Linked DNA regions of Anolis sagrei. Each later gene encodes a partner of the first gene's protein in a complex. Links are inferred from orthologs where the notes say so. Each region holds a gene or a part of one and is shown in the gene's direction. Other genes may lie near its edges.

Evidence for each region.
Region 2: PHF20 (region 1) and KANSL3 share a complex: the UniProt entries of both Homo sapiens proteins name them as parts of the NSL complex. The link is inferred for Anolis sagrei from reciprocal best matches to the Homo sapiens genes PHF20 and KANSL3.
Region 3: PHF20 (region 1) and KANSL2 share a complex: the UniProt entries of both Homo sapiens proteins name them as parts of the NSL complex. The link is inferred for Anolis sagrei from reciprocal best matches to the Homo sapiens genes PHF20 and KANSL2.
Region 4: PHF20 (region 1) and KANSL1 share a complex: the UniProt entries of both Homo sapiens proteins name them as parts of the NSL complex. The link is inferred for Anolis sagrei from reciprocal best matches to the Homo sapiens genes PHF20 and KANSL1.

Annotation. Positions count from the first base shown.
Region 1 is NC_090024.1:207,253,622-207,260,983, forward strand, and holds the start of PHF20 (PHD finger protein 20), read left to right. Parts: upstream 1-4,348; 5' UTR 4,349-4,484; intron 4,485-7,362. UniProt on the Homo sapiens protein: Methyllysine-binding protein, component of the MOF histone acetyltransferase protein complex.
Region 2 is NC_090027.1:22,755,893-22,762,976, forward strand, and holds the start of KANSL3 (KAT8 regulatory NSL complex subunit 3), read left to right. Parts: upstream 1-4,081; 5' UTR 4,082-4,222; intron 4,223-6,360; 5' UTR 6,361-6,426; coding exon 6,427-6,644; intron 6,645-7,084. Other genes in the region: DUSP11 (RNA/RNP complex-1-interacting phosphatase), read right to left, coding at 3,886-3,914. UniProt on the Homo sapiens protein: Non-catalytic component of the NSL histone acetyltransferase complex, a multiprotein complex that mediates histone H4 acetylation at 'Lys-5'- and 'Lys-8' (H4K5ac and H4K8ac) at transcription start sites and promotes transcription initiation.
Region 3 is NC_090022.1:137,522,429-137,530,265, reverse strand, and holds the start of KANSL2 (KAT8 regulatory NSL complex subunit 2), read left to right. Parts: upstream 1-4,815; 5' UTR 4,816-4,904; exon of another isoform or gene 4,905-4,930; intron 4,931-4,945; exon of another isoform or gene 4,946-5,038; intron 5,039-7,837. UniProt on the Homo sapiens protein: Non-catalytic component of the NSL histone acetyltransferase complex, a multiprotein complex that mediates histone H4 acetylation at 'Lys-5'- and 'Lys-8' (H4K5ac and H4K8ac) at transcription start sites and promotes transcription initiation.
Region 4 is NC_090026.1:44,096,630-44,103,822, forward strand, and holds the start of KANSL1 (KAT8 regulatory NSL complex subunit 1), read left to right. Parts: upstream 1-4,189; 5' UTR 4,190-4,272; intron 4,273-7,193. UniProt on the Homo sapiens protein: Non-catalytic component of the NSL histone acetyltransferase complex, a multiprotein complex that mediates histone H4 acetylation at 'Lys-5'- and 'Lys-8' (H4K5ac and H4K8ac) at transcription start sites and promotes transcription initiation.

The DNA of each region.
Region 1 (7,362 bases):
ATCCCTAGGGATGTCCCGCTTAGCCCTTCTAATAGCCGAGGCCGAAAATTCCACATATTCAATCTGTCTATACAAGAGTAAACATACACTAATACATTAACATTTTGGTGCCCTCTCAAGACATCCCAAAACTACCGCCTCAGCCATTGTGCCTAATAGAAGCCATCTAAGTATGTGTTTTCCATTTCTGTTATCTCTTATCTAAATAGCCAATGTGGTATAATGATTTGAATATTATGCTAGGACATTGGGAGACCAGGCTTCGAATCCTCACCCGTCCTGGAAACCCAATAAGGCCACATCTACATAAACAATGTAATGCAGTTTCAAAGATTGTTTTGAAAAATCACCACAATATTTAGTACACCAGGCAGGGGCCAAATTTGGCCCTCTGGGTTTTTTGGACTTCAACTCCCACCATTCCTAACAGCCTCAGGCCTCTTCCTTTCCCCCCTCAGCCGCTTAAGCATCTGAGGAGGAAAAGGAAAGGGCCTGAGGCTGTTAGGAATGGTAGGAGTTGAAGTACAGAGTTGAAGTACAGGAGTTGAAGTACACCCAGAAGGCCCAAGTTTGCCTGAGGGGAAAAAGGAAAGGGCCTGAGGATGTTAGGAATGGTGGGAGTTGAAGTCCAAAACACCCAGAGGGCCCAAGTTTGCCTGAAGGGGAAAAGGGCCTGAGGCTGTTAGGAATGGTGGGAGGTGAAGTCCAAAACACCCGGAGGGCCCAAGGTTGCCTGAGGGGGTAAAGGAAAGGCCCCAAGATTGCTAGGAATGGTGGGAGTTGAAGTCCAAAACATCCAGAGGGCCCAAGATTGCCTGAGGGGAAAAAGGAAGGCGCCTGGGGCTGTTAGGAATGGTGGGAGTTGAAGTCCAAAACACCCTGAGGGCCCAAGTTTGCCTGAGGGAAATAGGAAAGGGCTCGAGGCTGCTAGGAATGGTGGGAGTTGATGTTCAAAACACCCGGAGGGCCTAAGTCTACCCATGCCTGTCCTACACTTTCCAGTCACCCCTTAAAACTACTTACTACACAGGGCCATATAACCCAGAATATCAAGGTGGAAAATAATAATAAAACTAATAATAAAACTTTATTTATATACAGCTCTATCTCCCCAAGGCGACTCAAGTAACAAACACCAAAACATACATAAACATAATATTATCAAAACAACACAAATATATTAAAAATAATCCTGCCTATTTGTGCTTGTGACACAACACTGTTATAGTACAAGTTTAGCATCCTTTATCCAGAGACTGAAAATATTTCAGAATCAGAAATTCTCTATTTAAGTGTCTTAAGATAGTGGTGCTTTTGCTTTCTGGTGGTTCAGTGGACATATACTTTGTTTCAGGCACACAAGGATTAAAATATTTTACCCCTTCAGGTTCTGTATATAAGATGTGCACGACACATACATGGAATTTCATGTTCAGACTTGGCTCCCATCTCCAAAATATCCCATCATGCCCATATATACAATACAGGCAGTGCCCAAGTTATGAGGAAGTTAGGTTCTGTAGGTCTGTTCTTAAATTGGATTTGTATGTAAATTAGAGCAGGTTCATTTTTTTAAGCGTAACTCCATCCAAATGTGTGTCCAAATATGTGTGTGTCTGTATTTGAAGCTTGAAACCACTTTAATTGCCATATAAAGGTAAAGGTACAACACAAAGGTAAAGGTACAACACATATAAAGGTAAAGGTACAACACAAAGGAACAACACAAAGGTAAAGGTTTTCCCCTGACATTAAGTCCAGTCATGTCCAACTCTGGGGGTTGGTGCTCATCTATTAATATTTATTTATTTACAACTTTTATATTCCGCCCTTCTCACCCCACAGGGGACTCAGGGCGGATTACAATGTACACATATATGGCAAACATTCAATGCCAATTTGACATACAAACATATACAGACATACACAGAGGCTATTTAACTTTTTTCTGGCCACCAGGGGAGCTGTCGCTTTCATCGTCCATCTGCGACGCTGATGAAGCACTTCCGCATTCCCTGCATGCTTCCCCGCTGGAATGCTTTGCTGGAGTCTTCTTTATGGCCTCATAAATCAGTTAATTTAGCCTCCCCACACTTTAAGGTTGTACCTTATTTTCCTACTTGACAGATGCAACTGTCTTTCGGGTTGCAAAGGTTGACAACAGGCTACACACAATTGTTTGGAAACCCACTCCAACCCGGGCTGGCTTCGAACTCATGACCTTTTGGTCTGAGTGATCTTAATGCAGCTGACACTCAGCCAACTGCGCCACAATCCCGGTGCGCTCCATTTCTAAGCTGAAGAGCCGGCATTGTCCGTAGAATCATAGAGTTGGAAGAGACCTCATGGGCCATCCAGTCCAACCCCCTACTAAAAAGCAGGAAAATAGCATTCAAAGCACCCCTGACAGATGGACATCAAGCCTCTGCTTAAAAGCCTCCAAAGAAGGAGCCTTCACCACATTCTGGGGCAGAGAGTTTCACTGCTGAACAGCTCTCACACTCAGGAAGTTCTTCCTCATGTTCAGATGGAATCTCCTTTCTTGTAGTTTGAAAATCCCACAATATATGCTTTAAACTGTGTTATCTGAGTCCTGCCATACAGGCCTGTAGCGAGGGGGGAGGGGTTAGGGGATCAACCCCCCCCCCGAAATGTTTCAGATTTTTTTTAAAAACCTGGTTTACTCATGAATTTTAACTGGTGAACCAAATCCCCATGCTAAGTCTATGAGATGCAAAAAATTAAGAGTCCCTCCAGAACTGTAAGCACTATCTCAAGCAAATATTGACAATTTATTCACACTGTCATTACTTGCAGGAATAGCCAATGTTGTGAAGCAACCAAGTTGGGGTGTGTGTGTTGAATGCTCTCATTAAGGAGGCCAGACTTGGTGGAGGTGGTTGACAGGGGCGGAGCTGCAGGCTATTGAAGGCTGCTCTGCCCTTTGCTGTGCTCTTTGCTTCAGCGTGAGCTAGGAGGCAGGCTTCAACACCCCCAGGGCAGCTCACCCATTACGCAAAGTAAGCATTTGCAGTATAGTTGATTTTGCCCAGGGGCGCTCTTGAGGAAAATAGACATTGACATATGCAAGTTGTAGCTACTGGGATGTATGTTGTTGTTCATTCGTCCAGTCGTCTCCGACTCTTTGTAACCTCATGGACCAGTCCACGCCAGAGCTCCCTGTCGGCCGTCACCACCCCCAGCTCCTTCAAGGTCAGTCCAGTCACTTCAAGGATGCCATCCATCCATCTTGCCCTTGGTCGGCCCCTCTTCCTTTTGCCTTCCACTTTCCCCAGCATAATTGTCTTATTTATTTATTTATTTACTTTGCTTGTATACCGCAGTTTCTCACCCCGTAGGCGACTCAACGCGGTTCACAACAAGAGCAAAAAAGTCAATCGTACAACATACAATATTTAAAACCATTAACAGCCTAGTATACAAATAATGACACATCAATAACAACACATTAGCATCTCGTAACTAAAATCGTGATCCAATTCGTCATCCATAAATCCGTTCCTATATTCATCGTTCAATTGCACTATTTATCTGAACGCCTGTTCAAACAGCCAGGTTTTTAGTTTTCTTCGAAACACGATTAACGAAGGGGCAGATCTAATGTCCATGGGAAGGGAGTTCCACAGCCGAGGGGCCACTACAGAGAAGGCCCTGTCTCTCGTCCCTGCCAGCTGTGCTTGCGATGCAGGCGGGATCGAGAGCAGGGCCTCCCCAGAAGATCATGGCGCTCCTTTATCTTCTCTAGGCTTTGCTGTCTCCTCATGATGTGGCCAAAGTACTTCAACTTTGTCTCTAGTATCCTTCCCTCCAGTGAGCATACATACATACTGGGATGTATAGTTCACCTACAATCAGAGAGCATTCTGAACTCCACCAGTGATGGAACTGAACCAAATATGGCACACAGAACTCCCACAACGAACAGAAAATATATATCAGTGATTGGTTGGGGGGGTGGGGTGCCAAAATACTGTTTGCTTACCGTTGAAAATTACCTAGGGCCGCCGCTGAATTACCTAGGGCCCCCCGCGAAATTTTCAACCCCCCCCCCCGAAAATTTCAACCCCTCCCGAATATTTTTTCTGGCTGCGGCCCTGCTGCCATATATCCCAGTTCAAAGAGAATCATGTGGGATTTTATCCAGCAGCGTCGAAGGGCCGTCCAAAAGTCAGCACCAACTCCCTGTGTTCTGCCTCAGAGAGGAAAAAGGCTGTGAAGTGACTGACAGTTGGTTCCCTTCTTAGGCCAACCGTCGTCCCGTTGACGCCACGCCCCCTCGCCTTGGCCACGCCCCCTGGAGGACCCTCCTTCTTCTCTCTCTAGGCAGGCGGGCGAGCGAGCTAGGGGCGCCGCAGCAGCCGTGGCGGCCATTTTGTGGCGCTGCTGCTCACAGCGGAGCGCGCGCGCGGAGGAGGAGGAGGACCCGCTCCCTCGCTCGCGCCTCTTCCCGCGCGAGACCCCCGGTAAGGACATGGCGCTCCTTCATCATCTTCCAAGTCGTTGTTTGGATGGAGGGAGAGGGGAATAGAAAGCGTGGCTCCCTCCGCGGCCCTCACAAAGGCGGCGGCGGCGGAGAGGGGCGGGGACCAGCCGCGGTTGTGACTGTGGGAGTCCCGGGGCCTGGGAGGGGTGGAAGGGTTACTTGTGCCGCAAGGGAGCCTCCCTCACGACCTGCTCTTCAGGGAAAGCGAAGGAGGGAAGCTGGGTAGCGGGCCCGCGGGCGCCTCTAGCCGGGCGGGATGTGGGCGTAGGGCTCGGCGGCCTGCTCTCGTGTGAGAGGCCGCTTCCTCTCCTCTCCTCGCCACGCGTCCCGCCCTCTTCCTTTCCCTTTCCCTTTCCAACGGTGGCCCGCAGCCAAAGGGGAACGGCACCAGCTGCGCCTTCCTTGAGCCTTCTCCGGGATGATGGCTTTCGAGGATAGCCGTAACGTGACCTTGATCTTCACCAGCCACGCTTCGGCATCAACCCCTGTCAGACCCTTTATGATTAGACCAATGTGGGTTCTGCATTAAGCCTACACATTAACCCCTTTCAGAACCATTATCGTGGCCAGCGTGGGTTCTGCCTTATCCACACACATTAACCTTTTGCAAAATCTTTGTCATGACCAATATGAGTTCTACATTAACCCCACACATTAACCTGCCCCCCTTCCAGCCAGGACCTTTATCATGACCCTTGTGGGTTCTTTGCTAATCCCACGCATTAACCCCTTTCTAAACCTATAAAGAACCTATACCAGGAATGATAAAGGTTTAGAAAGGGGTTGGTGCATGGGATTAACACAGAACCCACAGTGGCCATAATAAAGGTTTAGAAAGGGGGTTATTTGACACGACAAATAAACCCCTTTCTAAACCTTTATTATGGCCACTGTGGGTTCTTTGTTAATCCCATGCACCAGCCCCTTTCTAAACCTTTATCATTCCTGGTATAGGTTCTTGGCTCTTTATTAACCCCAAGCATTAACCCCTCTCAGAACTTCTATTATGACCAGTATGGGTTCTGCATTAACCCCACACATTAACCCCTTTCTAAATCTTTATCACAACCGAGGTGGGTTCTGCGTTAACCCCTTTCAGAACCTTTATTATGACTGGTGTGAGTTCTGTTTTAACCCCACATATTAACCCCTTTCAAAACCTTTATCACAACTGATGTGGGTTCTGCAGTAGTCTCACACATTAACTTCTTTCAAATCGTTTGTCATAACCGGTGTAGGTTCTTAATTAATCCCATGTGTTAACTACTTTCAGAACTTTTATTATAACTGGTGTGGGTTCTGTGTTATACACAATATTAACCTTTTTCAAAACCTTTGTCATGACCAATATGGGTTCTGCATCAACCCCATACATTACCCCATCAGACCCTTTATCATGATACTTGTGGGTTCTTTGCTAATCCCATGCATTAACCCCTTTTTAAACCTTTATTATGGCCACTGTGGGTTCTGTGTTAATCCCATGCATCAATCCCTTTCTAAACGTTTATCATGCCTGGTATAGGTTTTTTTTATTAACTCCACACGTTAACCCTAAGCATTAACCCCTCTCAGAACCCTTATTATGACCAGTATGGGTTCTGCATTAACCCCACACATTAACCCCTTTCTAAATCTTTATCACAACCGAGTGTATTCTGCATTAACCCCCTGCATTAACCCCTTTCAGAACCTTTATTATGACTGGTGTGGGTTCTGTATTAACCCCATGCATTAACCCCTTTCAAAACCTTTGTCATAACCGGTGTAGCTTCTTCATTAATCCCATGCATTAACTACTTTCAGAACTTTTATTATAACTGGTGTGGGTTCTCATTAACTCCTTTCAAAACCTATATCATAACTGATGTAGGTTCTTTATTAACCCCACACATTAACCCTTTTCAGAACTTTTATTACAACTGGTGTGGGTTCTGTGTTAACCCCACACATTAACCCCTTCCAAAATCTTTTATCATAACTGGGGTGGGTTCTGCATTAACACCCCACACATTAACTCCTCAGTGTGCATCAGTGCTCAGTGGTTTCTATAATCATAACCTCAAACTTGGTTTCAAGATTTTCTTTGTAAGCATTTGCATAACAAAATTTTTATTTATTTATTTATTTGGTGCATTTGTTAACCGCCATTCTCAGCCCTTTAGGGCGACTCATGGCGGTGTACAACATACATAAAAAGGCAATTTACAAAAAGGCAATTACAGAACAACATATTAACAATACAACAATTATAAAGTTACACTAAATAATCCGCTTCGTCTCATAGTGGAATCATAACCAATCTCATATTCCTTGTTCCATTCCAGTCATCTTTACCACATTATTATAGCACTTAATTAAATGCCTTCTCGAACAGCCATGTCTTAAGGCTTTTTCGGAAGGACATGAGGGAGGGCGCCTGTCTGATGTCTGCAGGGAGAGTGTTCCACAGCCGGGGGGCCACCACCGAGAAGGCCCTCTCTCTCGTCCCCGCCAGACGTGCCTGTGAGGCAGGCGGGATCGAGAGAAGGGCCTCCCCAGACGATCTCAAGGTCCTCGTGGGCTCATAGGCCAAGATGCGGTCCGAAAGGAAAACCACTTTCTTCAGTACTGGTTTGAATCTGCATTAAATGGCTGGCCTAGATGGGGCCTCAGTGGGCTTCCATGAGAATTTGAACTATGGTCTCCCAATGTTCTAGTACAACATTCAAGCCACTTTATCACACTGGCTCTTTAGATTGGGGCCACCTTTTTTCTTTTATATGATAAAATTGTAGCACTGGGTTTTATTTTCATTTGCGTAGTAGCTGTCTTTAGTCAGTATCTGTTTGAGAGCAATTTTCTGTAAAAAAATAGTA
Region 2 (7,084 bases), on another chromosome or scaffold:
TTGAACTAACTGAAGTTTCAGAACCGTCTTCAAAGGCAGCCCCACGTAGAGCGTGTTGCAGTAATCTATTAGGGATGTTACCAGAATTTACCAGTAGTTGCTGCATTTCCCACTTCGGCTTATACTTATGTGGAGATTGGGTCCACGTTGACTTTAAATGTTTTTAGGATTAACATTTATTGCTGCTCTGCATTCCTTTCTATGCCTTTATTTTTTGCACATTCTTGAAAGTGCAGGAATGAGCACCTGAGCACAGAATCGAACTCTGATGTCTGGAGCAGTATAGATTACTTGGCCAAACTTCAGAAATGTTACATTAGTTAAAGCTTGCTCTGGCACTTGCAATTTGGTATATTAATTGTACATGCATTATCTAGCTGCTGTCTTCCTATGTGTACTATTGGGTTCATTTATGGGGCACAGCTTAATTAACTCACCACACTGAAGTCATTTCAGATTATTGGGTACAAAAGCAATCTAATGTATGATGAAGAGTCTGAAAGACACAAGCAGGTACCCACACTGTCTTCCTTTTATAGGGATTTGAAGTCTTGGATGTTTAAACTAGCCTTTGAGAATGTGTAAGATAAAAGTAGGCTCTGAATTGGGGAATCTTTGCAGAAGTCAAAGTGTCGGTTACATTTGTGTATTGTGTGGATTTTGTCGCTGCCTGTTTTTGTGTTGGGCTTTGGGTCCGAGTTCTGCAGCCTGGAGTTCCTGTGTGTGTTCGACTTGGACTGACTTCTCGTGAGTGTGGTTTTCTCCCTTCCTGGATCTCAGATTGGTTTGACGATGACACTGCTTGACGGACTTGGAAACGACACTTCTTTGGATTTCACCTATGACGACTCTTGGACTTTGTCTGGCTTTGGTTACTCTTTCGGCGGTTTATCTTTGCTGTTAACTGTTTGAGTGCGGTGTTGTTTGTTTGCCACTAAGTACTGCATTTAATCCAGTTCTTTTCTCTGGTTAATCCGAATTATGTTTCTGTTTGCTTTTTAAACCAAGGTTGGCTAATTTTTTGAGTTTTAGCCAGAGGCACTGAAGTTAAGCGTCTCTGAGCTTCTGTGTTTTTGTTGCATTAAACTGTACTTTGGAACTAATACTTTGTGTGGCCCCTTTAAGGCGTCTGTGTCTCGACAGTTTGAGTCCACAGTGATCTCTGGATGTAGGTGGACTACAACTCCAAAACCAAAGGACACTGCCCACCAAACCCTTCTAGTGTTTTCTGTTGGTCATTATTATTATTATTATTATTAACTTTATTTATACCCCGCAAAATCTCCCGAAGGACTCGATGCGGCTTACAAAGGCCAAGGCCGCAACAACAACATACAAATATAACATAAAACTCATAAGCAAATAATAAAACATCAAGCTAAGACAATAAAACACTAAAAACAACGACACATGATGCATTTAAAATCTAAAAGGCCGGGCCAAATGTAATGGACAAAATTTAAAAGTGCTGAACTTGACAGGAGGTATGTAGAGGTTTGTTGGAGGTAGGTTCAATGTGCAGACAATCCTAGTCTCTAACAAAGTGCATTTGGGACATGATGCCAGGAGTTTCCTAATCTGGAAAGGCACACTGGAACAGCCAGGTCTTCAGGCTCTTCCTAAAAATTGCCAATGTTGGGGCTTGTCTGATGTCCTTGGGGAGAGTGTTCCAGAGTCGGGGGGCTACCACAGAGAAGGCCCTGTCCCTCGTCCTCACCAAACTCGCTTGCAACGCAGGTGGGATCATGAGCAGGGCCTCTCCAGATGATCGAAGGGAATGTGTGGGTTCATATATGGAGATCTGTGTGCCAAGTTTGGTTCAATTCCATCGTTGGTGGGGTTCAGAATGTTCTTTGATTGTAGGTGAACTATAAATCCCAGCAACTACAACTCCCAAATGATAAATGGTGGTCCCTCGGCTGTGGAACACCCTTCCCACGGACATTAGACTAGCACCATCTCTAATGATATTCCGCAAGAAATTGAAGACCTGACTGTTCAAGCAGGTGTTCGAATAATTAGTGCAGTGATTGGTAATGAATATAGGAATGGAACAACGGAAGACAAATTTGGATTATGTTTTGGATGATGACACGACGCTGAATGGTTATCATAGTAATGGTGTTAACTGTGTATAGTGTTAGGTTGTGAATTGTTTTTATTCTGTAGTTTTGAATCTTGCTGTTCTTGTTTGTTGTACACCGCTGTGAGTCGACCCCGGGCTGAGAACAGCGGTCTATAAGTAAAGTAAATAAATAATAAAATGATAAATCAATTTTTTTGAGTGAAGGACATACATTGGGTTGTTAGATGTCTTGTGTCCAAATTTGGTGTCAATTCGTCCAGTGGCTTTTGAGTTCTGTTTATCCCACAAACGAAGATTACATTTTTATTTATATAGATATTATATTGAATTGCTTTGTATTGTTGTTATTGCTTTTCTGTTGTGATGTGTTGTTGGGTTTGGCCTCATGTAAGTCGCTCCGAGTCTCTTGGGGGGATGGTGGCGGGGTATAAATAAAGTTTTATTACATTATTATTATTATTATTATTATTAGGTTCTTGAAGGTTTTTCAGGCTATAGGGCCATGTTCTAGAGGCATTTCTCCTGACGTTTCGCCTGCATCTATGGCAAGCATCCTCAGAGGTAGTGAGGTCTGTTGGAATTAGGACAATGGGTTTATATATCTGTGGAATGGCTGGGGTGGGGCAAAGAGCTCTTCCCTGCTGGAGCTAGGTGTGACTGTTTCAACTGATCACCTTCATTAGCATTTGAAGGCCTGCCTGAGCCTGGGAAAATCTCTTGCTGGGAGGTGTTAATCTGTGCCTGGTTTTTTCCTCTCTGTTGTTTTGCTGTTGTAATTTTAGAATTTTTTAATACTGGTAGCCAGATTTTGTCCATTTTCATGGTCTCTTCCTTTCTGTTGAAATTGCCCACATGCTTGTGGATTTCAATGGCTTCTCTGTGTAGTCTGACATGGTGGTTGTTGGTGTGGCCCAGCATTTCTGTGTTCTCAAATAATATGCTGTGTCCAGGCTGGTTCATCAGGTGCTCTGCTGGTTGAAGTAGTCTGCAGTGCCTTTCAAGTTCCTTGATTCGTGTTTGGGCAATGCTGCGTTTGGTGGTCCCTATGTAAACTTGTCCACAGCTGCATGGTATACGGTAGACTCCTGCAGAGGTGAGAGGATCCCTCTTGTCCTTTGCTGAACGTAGCATTTGTTGGATTTTCTTGGTGGGTTTGTAGATTGTTTGTATGTTGTGTTTCCTCATCAGCTTCCCTATGCAATCAGTGGTTCCCTTGATGTATGGCAGGAACACTTTTCCTCTGGGTGGATCTTCATCTTTACTCTTGTGGCTTGTTCTTGGTCTTGCAGCTCTTCTGATGTCTGAGGTGGAGTCTCCATTGGCCTGGAGAGCCCAGATATATAAACCCATTGTCCTAATTCCAACAGACCTCACTACCTCTGAGGATGCTTGCCATAGATGCAGGCGAAACGTCAGGAGAAATGCCTCTAGAACATGGCTCTATAGCCCGAAAAAAACCACAAGAACCTAGTGATTCCAGCCATGAAAGCCTTCGACAATACATTAATTTAAATACTTTCACATTACCACAATCAGTGGATTTTGGTCTCCACAGTTTTAGAGGAACCCATTTTTCTTTTCAGTTTTACCTTCGATGCCAGGCATGAGCCAACTTGGGCCCTCCAGGTGTTTTGGACTTCAACTCCCACAATTCCTAACAGCCTAACGGCTGTTAGGAATTGTGGGAGTTGAAGTCCAAAACACCTGGAGGGCCCAAGTTGGCCCATGCCTGGCCTAGGCTCTCCCTTCTTTCAGGTTGGGCCAGGAAGGCTCTGTGTAATCCGGTCTCACGTTCTTACCTATCCGGTAGCTTGTTCTTCTTTCCCATTTCCTTTCCTCAGGCCTCTGCTTCCAACGAGGCGCTTCCCTCGAGTCCCTTCCTACCAAAGTCGGTTAAACATCCGCTTCCGTTTTTTTGCGCCGACGTGCTGGGGTGACGTCACCGCGTCGGGACAGGGGAGGCTCGGCGTCCAATCAGCGTCGAAGGGGGAAAAAAAAGAAGCGCGCATGCGCAGAAGAGGCTGAGGCCTGCCTGGCTGGCGGCCGGGGCTAAAGTGAGAGTCTCGCCTGCTTGTTTTCCTCTTCCCTCAACGTCTCTCCGTTCAAGCCCCGTCGGGATCGAGGCCGCTCTTAAAGGTGAGTAAAGGCCTTTGGGCAACTCTGCACATACTCAACAGCGGCCCTGTTCCAATATCATGCTCTCCTGACGTTTCGCCTGCATCTGTGGCAAATGGCACCTTCAGAGGGTCTTCAACAGAAAGGAGGAAACCATGAAATTGAACAAAATCTGGCTACCAGTATTTAAAAAACTCTAAAATTGCAACAGCAAAACAACAAAGAGGAAACAATCAGGGACATCTAATCACCCCTCAACAAAAGATTGTCCCAGGCACTGCCAGTCCATCAAATCCTAATCAAGGTGGTCAGTTGAAACATTCACACCTACCTCCAACAGACAAGAGTTCTTTGTCCCACCCTGGACATTCCACATATATATAAAAACCCAATTTTCTTTGCTCCAACAGACCTCACAACCTCTGAGGATGCTTGCCATAGATGCAGGCAAAACGTCAGGAGAGAATAGCATTTCACTATTGGCTGCTACTTCCCGGCGGATGCCAGGTGGTGCAATACCGGCTAAGCAGTGTAATTTCTCCAGTGGTGTAGGGCGCAGGCACCCCGTGATAATGCGGCATGTCTCATTAAGAGCCACATCCACTGTTTTAGTGTGGTGAGATGTGTTCCACACTGGGCATGCATACTCAGCAGCAGAGTAGCACAGCGCAAGGGCAGATGTCTTCACTGTATCTGGTTGTGATCCCCAGGTTGTGCCAGTCAGCTTTCATATGATATTGTTTCTGGCACCCACTTTTTGCTTGATGTTCAGGCAGTGCTTCTTGTAGGTAAGAGCACGATCCAGAGTGACTCCCAGGTATTTGGGTGCGCTGCAATGCTCCAGTGGGATTCCTTCCCAGGTAATCCTCAGAGCTCGGGATGCTTCTCTGTTCTTGAGATGAAAGGCACATGTCTGTGTTTTAGATGGATTAGGGATCAGCTGGTTTTTCCTGTAATAGGCAGTAAGAGCACCTAGAGCTTCGGAGAGCTTCTGTTCAACCATCTCAAAGCTCCTGCTTGAGCAGTAATGGCACGATCATCTGCATAGATGAAACTCTCTGTCCCGTCTGGCAGTGGCTGGTCATTTGTGTAGATGTTGAACGTGGATGGAGCAAGCACGCTCCCCTGAGACAGGCCATTCTTCTGTTTCCGCATACATTGCGATGTTTTGGTACTATATTTGTAAATACAGTAATTAATACATAACGTTACTGTGTTGAACTGCTTTTTTTGTTGATTTGTCGTCAAACATTATGTTTTGGTGCTTAATTTGTAAAATCATAAGGTAATTTGACATTTAATAGGCTTTTCATTAATCTGCCCTTATTATCCAACATTTTTGCTTATCCAACATTCTGCTAGCCCATTTGTGTTGGATAAGCAAGACTCTACTGTACTAAAAAAAACCCTCTAAAATCAGAACAGTAAATAAAGAGCAACACTCAGAAAATATGGAATAATCAGGGCCAGTTTACCCCTCCCAACAAAGGATTTCCCCAGGCAGGAATCAGCCAGGTGAGTAATTGCAGCATTCACACTGGCCTCCAACAGACAAGAGTTCTTTCTCCCACCATGGGCCTTCCACATATATTGCTTAGTTTCCAATATACCTCACAACCTCTGAGGATGCCTGCCATTGATGTGGGCGGAACTTCAGGAGAAAATGCTTCCGGAAGCTGGTCATACAGCCTGAAAAACTCACAGCAACCCAAGGATACTGCTGTCCACTTCTCAAACATTTGGATTGAGTCACCTTATGGACCCAGGTAGTCCCATAGTATAGGATTTACTATATACATAGTAAATATACATAGTTATATATATATAAAACGGCGCTCCATGCAGTCATGCCAGCCACATGGCCTTTGAGGTGTCTACGGACAATGCTGGCTCTTTGGCTTAGAAATGGAGATGAGCACCACACCCCAGAGTTGGACATGACTGGACATAATGTCAGGGGAAAACCTTTACCTTTTATATGCATAGGAATGCACAATATGAACTCCTGGAAATCTTGGGAGGTGCTTCTGCAGGCCCAAACTCATAGCAGATCCTAAATTTACAGACCCAGGCTCCAATCTGTATCAGCAGCCCCTCAGAAATAAACAGATGTGTGAAGAAGCCAATTTCTTGGTGCTTCTCTCTTCCTTTCCTGCCAGGGACCAGGATGAGGGGCAAGAGGAGTCCTTTGCCCCAACGGCGTTAGCAGCCAAAGACGTGGAGACATGTCATACCGAGGCAACGAACGCGATTTCCAGACCTCTGCACGGAGAATGGGGACCTCCCTGCTTTTCCAGCTGTCGGTCCACGAGAGAGAGCTGGACCTGGTCTTCCTGGATCACAGCTATGCCAAGCCCTGGAGTGCCCACCCAGATGCCAGCAATGCCCGCCCTACCCGCCTGCTCTTTGTGACACCTAAGAGGCACCAAGACAGCGGCACCATGTAAGTGTCACTCGTCTGTCTCGCTGTCTGTGCATGTTGACTTAGGAAGATCTCTTGACTTAGAAACCTACAGGATCCCCAATCCCAATCTTACAAATTCTGGGAAACTGTTGCTGCTTAGATTGAATCAGTCCATCTGTATTGTATTTTCTCTTTTTTTTTCTTGCTTCCACTTTTCCAAGTGTTATTGTCTTTCCTAAGAAGTAGCATTGTCTCATTCTATGACCAAAATACCGAGAATCCAGGCTTGGTTTGTTCTCGGACCCATATGTTTGTCTTTTTTAGTGGTCTGTGGTCTCTTCTAGCTCTACATTTCAAATTATTTGATTCCCCCCCCCCCTTTACTGTCCAATTTTAAATTCCACAGAGAAATCACAAATATGATTGATCCTCACTTCCTTATTCCGTTCTATATCTGCTTAGTTTAGTCTAAAGCCCCC
Region 3 (7,837 bases), on another chromosome or scaffold:
ATGGGGTCCAGAGTAAGTATGGGCCCACTGCATCTGTCCATTCCTGCTATGTATCAAATCTGATGCAAGAAATACTTATCTTCTCTCCACCTGTACTCATATTGTCATGACAGCCTTGGATATGGTGTAGTTTAGTGCACGCAATGTTACCAGCAGATAAAAACCATTAGCCACAAAAGTTGTATAGCACGGGGTTGTATCTCTGGCCTCAAACTATGTAGATTTGAGGGGTAAATTCTGGGGAGGGCATTTTGTGCACTTAATCAGTTGCACAGGAAAACAACAAAGGTCTGCTTTCTGAGCTCATACAGGCCAGCTGCAGAGACCAGGATGATTCCCTGAGAATAGTTTGTTCTATGTGGCAGTCTACACCCTTGCAAGCAACATTATGTCAATCCCCTATAATTATCCCCTATAATTTGATTGGAAATCTGAATCAGTGTGGAATAGATAAGAACGCTGTCAGATGGAACTATTACACTATGCAACACAATTTTTTGTTCCTGAGTTATAAATGTCATTTTCTAATTGGTTCTGTCATAAAAACAGAAAAAAATATTAAACTACAAACACTTGAGTTTTTGCAGTATATCCTACAGCACATAGTTTTTCAATGAGTGTCTCACAGAGTCTCAACCATTCAGGATAGTTTGTAGAAGCCACAAAAACAAAGTTTCTGGAATATAAAAACTACTTCCCAAGAAAGTACTGCAAAATTAAACAGGAAATAACATCTTCACAAAATAAAACCCAGAAACATTTTTTTTTCAAATTTTGTTACATAATATTGGTTGAAAACACTGTTTGAAAAGTCGTCATCAGTAGCTTCAAACTGGAAGGAGTTCTCAAGTGGAGAGCTTCGGGTTTCTCTTCCAGCGCTTTTACAAGTGAAAATTTTTATCAGTTATTCAGATGACAGGATAGAGGAAATCCTTAGCAGGTTTACAGATGGCTAAAAAATGGAAGGGGTGGTCAACACACCGGAGGATGGGAACACTTCAGAAGAAACTTGTTGAAGTATAAAATTAGATACTAAAGGAAGTCAATAGTATATATTGAAAATTCTACATATAGAGCACAAAACCCAGAAGCTGGTGATACTTGGCTCAGCCGTACAACATTTGAAAAGAACTTTGGGATGATTGTTGATCATACATTGAACACAAGCCAGCAGTGTGATGCTGCAGCAAAAAAGGTGAAATCTATTCTAGCCTACATTAATAGAACCATAGTTTCCCAAGTTGAGGAAAGTAATAGTCCCACTATATTCTGTGCTGATCAACCCTGATCTACATTCAATTCCAGGTACCTCATTTAAAGGATTATGGGTTGAAGCAAAGATAGATAATGAGGATAAGAAATATGGAGAGCAAAATGTGAGAAGCTGAAGGAGGTGACCACGTTCAGCTTGGTGAAGAGAAGACTGAGGGGTGACACGATTGTAGTCTAAATACCAGTGCTATTGCAGCAAGGAAGGCCTACCCTCTGCAGCTCTAGAAGGTTGGACCAGATTTAACAGTTCGATTTTGATTGAGCATTTGAAGTGTTCAGCAATGGAACCAACTGCCTAGGGCCTAGAGAGGTGGTGGGGTCTCTTCCTCTGGATGCCTTCAGAAAGAGGCTAGATGGCTTCCTTCTCGAGATGTTTGATCTTGCACTGAGGAGGGAACTGGATTTGGCGGCCCATGAGATCTATTCCAATTAAATGGCTGAGTTGCTGGCAACCCAATGTGTGTGCCACTGTTTTGTCTGAGTTCTAATTAATAAAATCTGTGGCTGTGTTCTCCGTCTTGTTCCTGTGCTGATAGATAGGGATGTATTTCTATCATCTAGCCTTGGAATGAGGCTTTATGCAGATGGTTTAGTGGAAATGCCCTCCACTGTTTTCATACAAAGAGGTAGGCTTAGGATGTGTACATAATTGGAATTGCTGTCAAGGTATACGAGATGTTTAACTGCCATCAGGTTGATTTTGACTTAAGGTGATCATAGAACCATGAAGTTGGAAGAGATCATGCAGCAATCCAGAAACCCACAATCAAATAGTCATTCAGCTTCTACTTAAAGATCTCCAGAGAAGAAAAGTTCACTACCCTGCAAGACAGCATATTCCATTGCTGAACAGCTTTTATCGTCAGAAAGTTCTTCCCAATGTTTAGGTGGAATCTCTTTTTCTGCAATTTGAATCTATTGCTCCATCATGTCCTAAGAATGAGGGACCACCAAGTCACCTTGCCATCAGCCACGCTGTATATGAGGAAGTTGTTGCCAAGTAGTAATGCCAGTTACCACTTGGCATTAAAATATTGGCTCATTTAACTGCTACGTGGCTGGCATAGGTGTCCTGGGTTTTCTGTTCCCAAATTGAAATGAACCTGCTACACACACACATTGCCATATGTCCTGTGTTCACAAAATGCTGAAGGCAGGGCAATGGAAAGTAGAACGATGGGAGCATGAACCTAAGCATTCAAATGTTTATTGTAGGCTGCCAGTGGCATAAGCACTGCTTCTTAAACTGGGTGAAGACCTCAAATGGGGTCCCCTTGGCTCAACATCAAGGTTGCGATAAATTTCTGAACATTTATACAAATCTGCAGTGTTTACAGTGGACTTGGCAAAAAATACTTCAGACGTACACAGAAATGAAAAAATGAGCTTGATTAGCAAGCCTTGCAAATACTGATTTGTTATCATGCCTGATTTCTATACCCATTTAGTGTCATGTAAAAAGTTTTTCGATCCAAAAAGGGGTCATGAGTGGAAAATGGTTTAAGAAGCTTGGTATCAACCTCTGGCCACATCATGAATGAAAGATAAACCGACTTAGGGCTTGGATACAGAATGTGTGTGAATGAAGGTATTTAGCAAATCTAAGAAGTCTGTAAACCACCGTAGCCATACAAAAGGTAAAGTTAGGTTTTTAATATAAAATATGTGTATGCGTGTATAAAGCATTCGAACTTGGGGCCCTCATGGCGGGCTGGAGTGGGGTGGGCGGACCAGGAGGAAGGGGGTTCTCACCAAGCCACCTCCGTGCCCTTTACTCCCCTTTCGGAGGCAGAAAGTGAAGGAGAGACCAGAAACCTTTGAATGCTAATTGGGTCAGGATGAGATGGTGGATGAGAGAGAAAAGTGTATCAATTAGACTCCGTATTGCCTCCTCCTGATACAGAATCCTAGAGCCAGAAGAGAACCCCCAGGGCCATCCAGTCCAACCCCCTGCCATGCAAGAAGGTACAATCAAAGCACTCCTGGAAGACAGCCTTTACAGAAAAGCCTCCAGAGAAAGACACTCCACCACACTCAGGTAGCCTATGCTACTCCCCAGGAAGTTCTTCCTAATCTTTTCAGTTTGAAACTCTTTTTCTGCCATTTGAAACCATTGCTCCCTTGTGGCCTGGTCTCTAGAGCAACAGAAAGTCAGTTTCCCCCCTTCTCCTCCTCAATGGGACACCCTTTGAAATCTTGAAACACAGTTCTCATGTTCCTCTCAACTTCCGGACCCAGCTTTCATACTATTACCTAAGGGACGCCTTCTGCATCCACGAAGACCCTGCAACCCAATTCCAGCGGATACAAAGGGACGGCTGTATTTAAAGAGAGAGCTTCCTGTATTGTCAAAGGCTTTCATGGCTGGAATCACTAGGTTCTTGTGGGTTTTTTCGGGCTATATGGCCATGTTCTAGAGGCATTTTCTCCTGACGTTTTGCCTGCATCTATGGCAAGCATCCTCAGAGGTAGTGAGGTCTGATGGAATTAGGAAAATTGGTTTATATATCTGTGGAATGACCAGGGTGGGACAAAGGACTCTTCTCTGCTGGAGCTAGGTGTGAATGTTTCAACTGACCACCTTCATTAGCATTTGAAGGCCTGGCTGAGCCTGGGGGAATCTTTTGTTGAGAGGTGTTAAGATGTGCCTGATTGTTTCCTCTCTGCTGCTTTGCTGTTGTAATTTTAGAGTTTTTTAATACTGGTAGCCAGATTTTGTTCATTTTCATGGTCTCCTCCTTTCTGTTGAAATTGTCCACATGCTTGTGGATTTCAATGGCTTCTCTGTGTAGTCTGACATGGTGGTTGTGAGAGTGGTCCAGCATTTCTGTGTTCTCAAATAATATGCTGTGTCAACAAAAGATTCCCCCAGGCTCAGCCAGGTCTTCAAATGCTAATGGTGGTCAGTTGAAACATTCACACCTAGGTTCTTGTGGGTTTTTTCGGGCTATAGGGCCATGTTCTAGAGGCATTTCTCCTGACGTTTCGCCAGGAGAAATGCCTCTAGAACATGGCCCTATAGCCCGAAAAACCCACAAGAACCTAGTGATTCCAGCCATGAAAGCCTTCGACAATACATTCACACCTAGCTCCAACAGAGAAGAGCTCTTTGTCCCACTCTGGTCATTCCACAGATATATAAACCCATTTTCCTAATTCCAACAGACCTCACTACCTCTGAGAATGCTTGCCATAGATGCAGGCGAAACGTCAGGAGAAAATGCCTCTAGAATATGGTCATATAGCCCGAAAAAACCCACAAGAACCTAGAGAGCTTCCTGTTTCAAAAGGACCTAAAAAAGCGAGACGCGCCCTTCCTTCCGGCGGAAGGGAAAGCACGCGGCCGCCCTGCTGTCACTCAACCTCAAACCCCGCCCTTGCTTACGCGACAAGCATCGCAGCCAATAGACCAGTCGGACTCTTCCCGCTCTGAGCAATGTCCATTAGCCTGTATCGTTCAGTGGGCGGGGAGAAGGAAGGAAGGAGAGAAGACCGGCACCTCATTGCTCCACCTCATCTGAGTGACGCCTCTTTTAACCAATCGCGGCCGTGCTCAGGCCGTCTTCGGATTGGTCGGCGAGCCGAGCGCTGGAGGCCTTGCGAAGGTGTGAGCTGAGAACACGAGAGGGAAGGTAAGATGGCGGCGGAGGGGCCCGAGGTGAGGCGGCGGGGAGAAGAAGGCCTGCTCGGATTGTCTGGGCCTGAGAGCGGTTGTAATGGCCGAAGGAGGCGGAAAGACAAGGAAAGGGTCCCTGTTACTCAGCTGGTTAGGGGCAGGGCCTGTACTTCACGTCTACCCGTTAAAACAACGGCTTCGTTTGCTTTCCCTGCTGGAAACAGGCGATCTGTAGTTAGTAAGCCTGGTGCCAAGGGAGACGAGGGAGGGGACACAGGGGAAGGAGGCAGGAACGCGCGCCTCGCCTTCGAGGGCGTTGAAGCAGAGGAGGCCTGGAAAATGGATCCAATTCAGATGGAAATTGGGAAAGGGTGGCTGCTACTTCTTACAGTGAGCTCTCGGTATCCGCGGAGGTTTGCTTCCACCCGTGGGCGCTGAGTATAGTGGTGTTCCTTAGTTCAAACTAGCCAGTACACTCGGCGTTATCTGCGCCTGCATTGGTTCCGTGGCTCTTCAGAACTTACCTACCATGTAACTTCTCTATGGGAATGATATGGGCGCCTGGGAGGCCCCTAAAAGCCTTTCTATTTCTTTCCTTCCCTCTCTCCCCCTTCCCTCTCAGTCACGTGACAGAGAGCCACTTCACCTAGCAACAGCCAATCTGCTTTGTTCCTTTCCCTCACCTCTAGTTGTTGTTTTTTTAGTCAAAACCCCTCAATTATTTTAAATTGGATTATGATAGGCACATGTGCTATGTTTGGTCCAGATCCATCAAGCTATAGAAGAGCCTTTGTGGTATAAGCATACATGCATGCACACACACACACATACATTCACTTTAATTATATACTAACCCCCGGTGGTGCAGCGAGTTAAGCTGCTGAGCTGCTGACAGAGAGGTCGGCAATTCTATTCCCGGGAGCAGGTTAAGCTCCCGTTGTTAGCCCCAGCTTCTGCCAACCTAGCAGCTCGAAAACATGCAAATGTGAGTAGATCAATAGGTGCCACTTCAGTGGAACGTAACAGCACTCCATGCAGTCATGCTGGCCTCATGACCTTGGAGGCGTCTACGGACAATGCTGGCTCTTCGGCTTAGAAATGGAGATAAACACCACCTCCAGAGTTGGGCACAACTAGACTTAATGTCAGGGGAAACCTTTACCATTGGTACCCAGTGATGACCAGCTTTTGTATTTGGTAAGGATAAAAGTCATGCATACTTTTTCGGTTTTATTAATAGTTCCATTAGAAAATGTGTAAGGATGTGGATAAACTACCACTCACCTTCTGCCATTGCCCCCTTCCACCCACCCCGCAGTATTTACAGTTGGTCATAAGGGATCTGTCTGCCAAGTTTAGTCCAGATCCATCATCAGTGAGGATCACAATGGTCTCTGTATGTGGGTGGGCTGCAGCTCTCATAATCTCCCCCCCCCCCCAAAAAAAAAGAAACCCTCCAGTATTTTCTGTTGGTAATGGGAGTTTTGTGTGCCAAATATCCCAGATCTAGAACAACAACAATATTTATTGCGGTCCATAGACCCAGCAGTAAAACCAGCAGTCATTATAAATTCTCCCATCTCAGGAGAAGTCCATTGTACAAGATAAATCTACATTGTATTGTCGAAGGCTTTCATGGCCGGAATCACTCAGTTCTTGTGGGTTTTTTCGGGCTATATGGCCATGTTCTAGAGGCATTTCTCCTGACGTTTCGCCTGCATCTATGGCAGGCATCCTCAGAGGGTGAGGTCTGGAGCTGGGAAAAAAGAGAGGGTTTATATATCTGTGGAAAGACCAGGGTGAGACAAAAGGCTTTTGTAAGATGGGCTAGGTGTGAATCTTTTCAATTGACCACCTTGATTAGCATACAATGGGCTGACTGTGCCTGGAGCAAACTCTTAATGAAATGTGATTAGATGTCCCTGCCTGTTTTTCTCTCTGTTGTTTTAATTTTAGAATTTTTTAAAACTGGTAGCCAAATTTTGTTCATTTTCATGGTTTCTTCCTTTCTGTTGAAATTGTCCACATGTTTGTGGATTTCAATGGCTTCTCTGTGTAGCCTGACATGGTGGTTGTGAGAGTGGTCCAGCATTTTTGTGTTCTCAAATAAAATGCTGTGTCCAGGTTGGTTCATCAGGTGCTCTGCTATGGCTGATTTCTCTGGTTGGAGTAGTCTGCAGTGCCTTTCGTGTTCCTGGATTCTTGTTTGGGCGCTGCGTTTGGTGGTCCCTATGTAGACTTGTCCACAGCTGCATGGTACACGGTAGACTCCTGCAGAGGTGAGAGGATCCCTCTTGTCCTTTGCTGAACGTAGCATTTGTTGAATTTTCTTGGTGGGTTTGTAGATAGTTTGTATGTTGTGTTTCCTCATCAGCTTCCCTATGCGGTCAGTGGTTCCCTTGATATATGGCAGGAACACAGACAGGTCACACCGTCTACAGAAAACCCACACACACAGATAGATATCTACATAAAAACTCCAACCATCACCCAAGTCAAAAAAGAAGCACCATCAAAGCCTTGGCAGACCGTGCAAAAAGAATCTGTGAACCCCACCTCCTCCAAGATGAACTGAACCACCTCAACTGGGCTCTACAGGCCAATGGATACTCCACCTCAGACATCAGAAGAGCTGCAAGACCAAGAACAAGCCACAAGAGTAAAGATGAAGATCCACCCAGAGGAAAAGTGTTCCTGCCATATATCAAGGGAACCACTGACCGCATAGGGAAGCTGATGAGGAAACACAACATACAAACTATCTACAAACCCACCAAGAAAATTCAACAAATGCTACGTTCAGCAAAGGACAAGAGGGATCCTCTCACCTCTGCAGGAGTCTACCGTGTACCATGCAGCTGTGGACAAGTCTACATAGGGACCACCAAACGCAGCGCCCAAACAAGAATCCAGGAACACGAAAGGCACTGCAGACTACTCCAACCAGAG
Region 4 (7,193 bases), on another chromosome or scaffold:
TCCTATCCAATTTGTTGTCAATTCACTCCTTTGGGCTTAATGCAAATTTACCATTTCCAAAATATACGATCCTGTCTTTTTCTTTTCCATTTCTGGCTGAATATCTTAACCATTGGTTTGTCCCATCAAATATGAGATCTGCCCAAGAGGCACTGCTTGTAGTCTATTGTGATCCAGTTCATCAGTTGACATATCCATTGGCTATCGTTTGTTAGTACTATATGCCCTGTCAATCTTATTTTTGCTTCATAGATTTAATTGACCACGTCACGTACCCCAGTTCTTTGACACAGCTCTTTATTGCTGACTTTATCTTATCCTTCTTTCCATTGCTCTCTGAGTCACCACCAGTTTTTCCTCCTCTAACCTTGTTGTTGCCCATATTTCAGAAGTGTATATAATTGCCGGTAAAACTGTAGTGTTGAAGATATCTGCTGTGACTTTAATTGACAGCTTATCATCCGGGCGTCCCCTGGGCAACATCCTTGCAGACAGCCAATTCTCTCACACCAGAAGTGATTTGCAATTTCTCAAGTTGCTCCTGACATGACAAAAAAAACCTGTTTTAATGAGATTTTAAGGATTTAATATGTTTGTAATTATGTGTACTGTGTCACATTTGGTTTAAGTTGTCTTATGATTTATTGAGTTGTTTTTTTTATTTGTTTATATATTATTGTTGGCATTGAATGTTTGCCACTCTTATTTTGTTGTAAGCCGCCCTGAGTTTCCTTGGGAAGGTAGGGCAGGATATAAATAAAGTTTAATTGATTGATTCATCCATTTGCACTGTCCAGTTTTAATTAAAAGCCATCCAAGCAGCCTTGTGTCTTCTTTTCCAATTGTCATTTGTTGCATTATTTGACTGTACTTATTATCCAAGATATACATATTCTATGTTTTTAATACACGTATTTTATGGTCATTTGATTTATCTATGTATTTTAATTATGCTGTATCCTGTGTTGTTGTTATCACAAAAACTAGGCTGATAGCCAGAGTAAAGCAGTAACCCACAGTCACTTTGTGCCTGGACTCCCCCTCCCCAACATCCACTTCAAGATGCCTGGGCTTTAACTTGGCATGTCACACCTATTTCCCTTTTCCCTTACTTTGAGCCCAAAAAAGGATGGCAGGGGCAACCTTTGTGGGGTTTTGTTTCTGGGGAGGCCTTTCTCAAAATGAGGGGGAAAGGGGAGTATGGAAGTCTCCTCTTCCTGGCCTGAGGAGAAATTTGTGAAGGGGCAACCCTTTCCTGTTCTGAGGGTGGGTGGGGGGAGAATTATAAGTCTCCCCCTCACGTCCTGAGGAGAAATTTGTGAAGGGATAACCCTTCCTTGTTACCTATGGGGAAAAGGAATTATATGTCTCCTCCTCAGGCCTTGAGGAGAAATTTGTGAGAGTGGCGACCCTTCCTTGTTCTATATGGGTGGGGTGGTGGTGGTAATTAATTATAAGTCCCCTCCTCAGGGCCTGAGGAGAAATTTATGAAGGGGTGACACTTCCTTGTTCCATATGGGGAAAAAAGATAATCATAAGACCCCTCTCCTCAGGGCTTGAGGAGAAATTCGTAAAGGGACGACCCTTCCTTGTTCTATATGAGGGAAAAAGAGAATTAGAAGTCTTCCCCTCAGGGCCTGAGGAGAAATTCGTGAAAGGGCGACACTTTCTTGTAACCGATGGGGGGAAAAGAGAATTATAAGTCCCCTCCTCGGGCCCTGAGGAGAAATTTGTGAAGGTACAACTCTTCCTTGTTCTATATGAGGGGAAAAGAGAATTAGAAGTCTTCCCCTCAAGGACTGAGGAGAAATTCGTGAAAGGGCAACACTTTCTTGTAACCTATGGGGAGGAAAGAGAATTATAAGTCCCCTCCTCAAGGACTGAGGAGAAATTCGTGAAAGGGCAACACTTTCTTGTAACCTATGGGGGAAAAAGAGAATGATAAGTCCTCTCCTCAGGGCCTGAGGGACGACCCTTCCTTGTTCTATATGGGCGGGAGGGGGGGGGGAAAGAAAATTATAAATCTCCCCCTCGTGGCCTGAGGAGAATTTTGGGAGGGGGCAACGCTTCCTGGTCATTGGGGTGTGTGTGTGTGAATTATGGCAGTCTCCTCTTCAGGGACTGAGGAGAAATTTGGGAGGGGGAAACTCTTCCTGGTCCATTGAGCTGTGTGTGTGTGTGTGTGTGTGTGTAGAATTATGGAAGTCTCCTCTGCAGGGCCTGAGGAGAAATGTATGTGGGGGAAATGCTTTCTGGTCCATGGGTGTGTGTGTGTGTTTGTGTGTGAATTATGGAAGTCTCCTTTTCAGGGCCTGAGGAGTAATTTGGGAGGGGCAAACCCTTCCTGGTCCATTGAGGTGTGTGAGAGTGTGTGTTTGTATAGAATTATGGAAGTCTCCTCTTCAGGGCCTGAGGAGAAATTTGTGAGGGGGAAACGCTTCCTGGTCCATTGGTGTGTGTGTGTGTGTGTGTGTAGAATTATAGTAGTCTCTCTTCAGGGCCTGAGGAGAAATGTATGTGGTGGAAATGCTTCCTGGTCCATTGGTGTGTGTGTGTGTTTGTGTGTGAATTATGGAAGTCTCCTTTTCAGGGCCTAAGGAGAAATTTGTGAGGGGGAAACGCTTCCTGGTCCATTGCAGTGTGTGTGTGTAGAATTATGGAAGTCTCCTCTTCAGGGCCTGAGCAGAAATTTGTGAGGGGGGAACGCTTCCTCGTCCATTGGGGTGTGTGAGTGTGTGTGTGTGTGTGAGAGAGAGAGAGAGAGAATTATGGAAGTCTCTTTGGGGCCTGAGGAGAAATATGTGAGGGGGAAACGCTTCCTGGTTAATTGGTGTGTGTGTGTAGAATTATAGAAGTCTCTCTTCAGGGCTTGAGGAGAAATTTGGGAGGGGACAACCCTTCCTGGTCATTGGTGTGTGTGTGAATTGTGGAAGTCTCCTCTTCAGGACCTGAGGAGAAATTTGAGAGGGGGAAATGCTTCCTGGTCCATTGATGTGTGTGTCTGTGTAGAATTATGGAAGTCTCCTCTTAAGGGCCTGAGCAGAAATTTGTGAGGGGGAAACGCTTCCTTGTCCATTGGTGTGTGTGTGTGTGTGAGAGAGAGAGAAAGAGAATTATGGAAGTCTCTTTGGGGCCTGAGGAGAAATATGTGAGGGGGAAACGCTTCCTGGTCCATTGGTGTGTGTGTGTGTGTGTGTGTGTGTGTCTGTGTGTGTGAAGAATTATGGAAGTCTCCTCTTTGGGGCCTGAGGAGAAATATGTGAGGGGGAAACACTTCCTGGTCCATTGGTGTGTGTGTGTGTAGAATTATAGAAGTCTCTCTTCAGGGCCTGAGGAGAAATTTGGGAGGGGGAAATGCTTCCTGGACCATTGGTGTGTGTGTGTGTGTGTGTAGAATTATGGAAATCTCCTCTTCAGGGCCTGAGGAGAAATTTGGGAGGGGACAACCCTTCCTGGTAATTGGTCTGTGTGTGAATTGTGGAAGTCTCCTCTTCAGGGCCTGAGGAGAAATTTGGGAGGGGAAAATGCTTCCTGGTCCATTGGAGAGTGTGACTGTGAGTGTGTGTATAGAATTATGGAAGTCTCCTCTTCAGGGCCTGAAGAGAAATTTGGGAGGGGACACCCCTCCTGGTCATTGGTGTGTGTGTGAATTATGGAAGTCTCCTCTTCAGGGCCTGAGGAGAAATTTGGGAGTGGGAAACGCTTCCTGGTCCGTTGGTGTGTGTGTTTGAATTATGGAAGTCTCTTCCTCTTCAGGGCCTGAGGAGAATTTTGGTCGGTCTGTAAGGGTAAAGCCTCCGCTTTTCCTCTCCAAATGGCACCCCCCTCCCCTCCTTCCCCCAATCCACTCCTTCTCCATCTGACAGAGGAGTTGCTTTAAGGCTGAGCCTATTGGAATGCTTTGCTCTTTGACTGTTGCCTTTTAGGCTACTCCTGGGACTGGCTGAAGCACAGAGTGGGGGGCCTGAGGGGAAACATTGGGGGGGGGGGGGCTTGAATAACCGAGGAAGGTATTCCCCCCCCCCCCCCCCCCAGCCCCTCTCGATTTCCTCTCATGCCCAAGAACCACCAGGCAAAAGAAGCCTTGAGGTATCAGCATCACCCCCTCCCCCTTACTCCCCAGTTCGTCAAGCCCCGCCCTTTCGCCGTTGACGGACACGCCTTCTGCCAACCGCGACGGCTTAGGCCTTGGTGTCAGCCAATGGGGAGCGGAGGAGGGCGGAAGACTTCCCACCCCCTCCACCCCACTTCAAGGCTGGTTGAGCTGTGCAGGTAGGTGTTTGAGGGGGTCTTGGGAGCAGGTTGCCAAGCGGGCGCGACTCTGAGGGCAAGTAGGGAGAGGCTGTGCCTGGAGAGGGTGTCCCCTTCTCTCCCTCTCTCTCGGCAGGTAGGTGGGTCTGGCTGAGCCCGCGGAGGGGGTGCCATGAGGGGGCCAAGGAAGCGGCAAGGATGGCAGAGGGGAAAGGGGGGCTGGGGGCGTGACGTTGCAGAGGCATGCTCCCCTGGTAAGGACGAGGAAGGGGTTTGGGGGAGAAGGCACCCCCTTCCTTCCAACCGTCGCCACTCTCCTCCTCCTCCCCTCAGAGATGCCAAGGGAAGAAGCAAGTCTCGCTTCGAGTCCAGGCCAAGTCGAGGAAGAAGCCCCTTCCTGGACTCCTGGCAACTTTGAGCGGGAGGAGAGGCAATGGGGTGGCCGGGGGGAAGGAATAGGGCCAGGCCAGGAAAGGAGAGGAGTTAGTGGACGGGTTTATTTGTTTTTTTGAGGGGGGGGGGAGCGTGGTCGTGGAACAGCCTGTCCCCCCTCCTTCCCACACAGATCTCTATTAAGGGAAGGTGATGGGTGTAAGGCAAAATAAATAAATAAATGAAATCTATATAAATAAAAATGCAATGTTCGTTTGTGGGATTAACATAACTCATAAACCACTGGGCGAATTGACACCAAATTTGGCCACAAGACACCAATCACGCCAATGAGTGTCCATCACCCCTAAAAACACACAAAAAAACCCAGCCGAACGGACTTTAACCCCCCCCCCCCAATAAACCATACATACATATACACAACTATACACATATACACAATATACATATACACATGCACACATACATACATACAGACATATATATATACAGAAATATACACATACACTCAAGCACACACATATACACAATATATATGTACACATATAAACACAGAAATATACATATACACATGCACACATACAGACAGACATATATATATACACACAAGCACCCACAACTATACACATATACACCTATACACATACATATACACATACATATATATGCATTTACACAAGCACACACATATACACAATATACATATACACATATAAACACAGAAATATACATATACACATGCACACATACATACAGACATATATATACACAAATATACACATACACCCAAGCACACACATATACACAATATACATATACACATATAAACACAGAAATATACATATACACATGCACACATACAGACATATATATACACAAATACACATACACCAAGCACACAAATATATAAACACGTATACACATATAAATACACAAATATATACACAGACCTAAACACACATATACACACACAAAACACATATACACAGACTGGGCCACAGCAACGCGTGGCAGGGGTTGGCTAGTATATATATATATAAAAATAACTTTGGGAAGTTGTCTGCCTTTGGAGGCGGTTTGCAAGAGGGAAGGTAAGCCTCTCCGTCCCTCCTCCTTCTCCTCTTCCTCCTCCTCCTTCGCACTCTCCTGTGTGTGGGTATTTCTGCTCCAAATAGGAAACTCAAGGCAGGGAGAATAAGGGGAAAGGGGTGGCTAAGGCCCCACTGAAGAGAAGACTGGCCCGGTGGGTGAAAAGAAGGCCAACCATCCATTACTAAACCCAATTTGGAAGGAAGGAAGCAGGCCCTGTTTGTCATCTTGCCCAAGGCCCGGCTCTCAAGGGCCCTGCCTCTGATGTGGGTCCTAATATCACCAGAAAATTAAGGTTTTGCAATAGTGGGAGCGCCTTTCTGAGGGCACCCATTCCAGATTTCAGCCTCATCTTGACTGAGCGTGTAATGCTGTTTCAAAGCGGATCATTCAGTAGGAAATCCTGGAACCAGTTTCAGGCCTGGAGGGTGTGCAGAGCATTGGTGCACATTAATGCTTTATTTCTGCAGCTTTTGTGGGAATTTTGTTGCCTGGCTGCTGCGGTTTGAAGCTAGCTTTAAACTGCATTAAATGGTCAGTTTAGATGAGGCCTTCATTTGAGCCAGGGCTCTCAAACCTAAAATCTCTCACACACAGATATCACTACTTCCTCTTTCTCAATCAGTCCTACAAAATGGGGAGATATTTTATTATAAACAATTTGTAGTGACTGAGTTAAACCGATGTGGCCCTATAGTGACAAGTCAGAAACAAGTCTCTCACTGAGGCCCCATCTACACTGCCATATAAAATCAGATGATCTGCTTTGAACTGGATTACATGGCAGTATAGACTAATCCAGTTCAAAGCAGATAATCTGAATTTTATATGGCAGTGTAAATGCGGCCTGAGTTCAGGTAAGTGGGTCTATAGGACACTAGTTTAAAATTTCTGAACACCTGAGCAACTGAAGGTTGCTTATATAAATATGAGGATTATGTTTGGGTCTTTGGGTATCTTGTTTCTAGATAGTTCGGGGCTTAAGTTTCTTTCCCTTAGAATTGTAGCTTGGACATCCCATTATTAATTTTTTTAAGCTTTAGGACAGAGATTGGGTAAAGTGCAGTATTGGGGCTGCACATGACTCTGTTTTTCCTGCCTGCCAGTCCTCCACACTGTTTAAAAATACATTTTTTGTCAAGTAGAAGTAAAGTTCTGGTTTTGGGAGAAGAGTATATTTGGGTGGCCTGTGCAATCCCCAGAAAGTCCGAAGGACAGCACATGGGTCCCCTGGACCTATTACAAATCATAGGGAGGAATGTTCATAGAATATCATGGAGGTAGAAATAAGGAATCTGCCATTTTTATTGTTCTAGAGTTGTAATTTTTACGGAAGAATATTGCAAAACTAAGATACCTTTTTAAAATCTTCAAAACAATTAAATTTTATCAGCCTGTGGATGTTGTGTACTTCCTAAAATCCACTAATGATATATACATAGAGACACTAGCATTTAGGA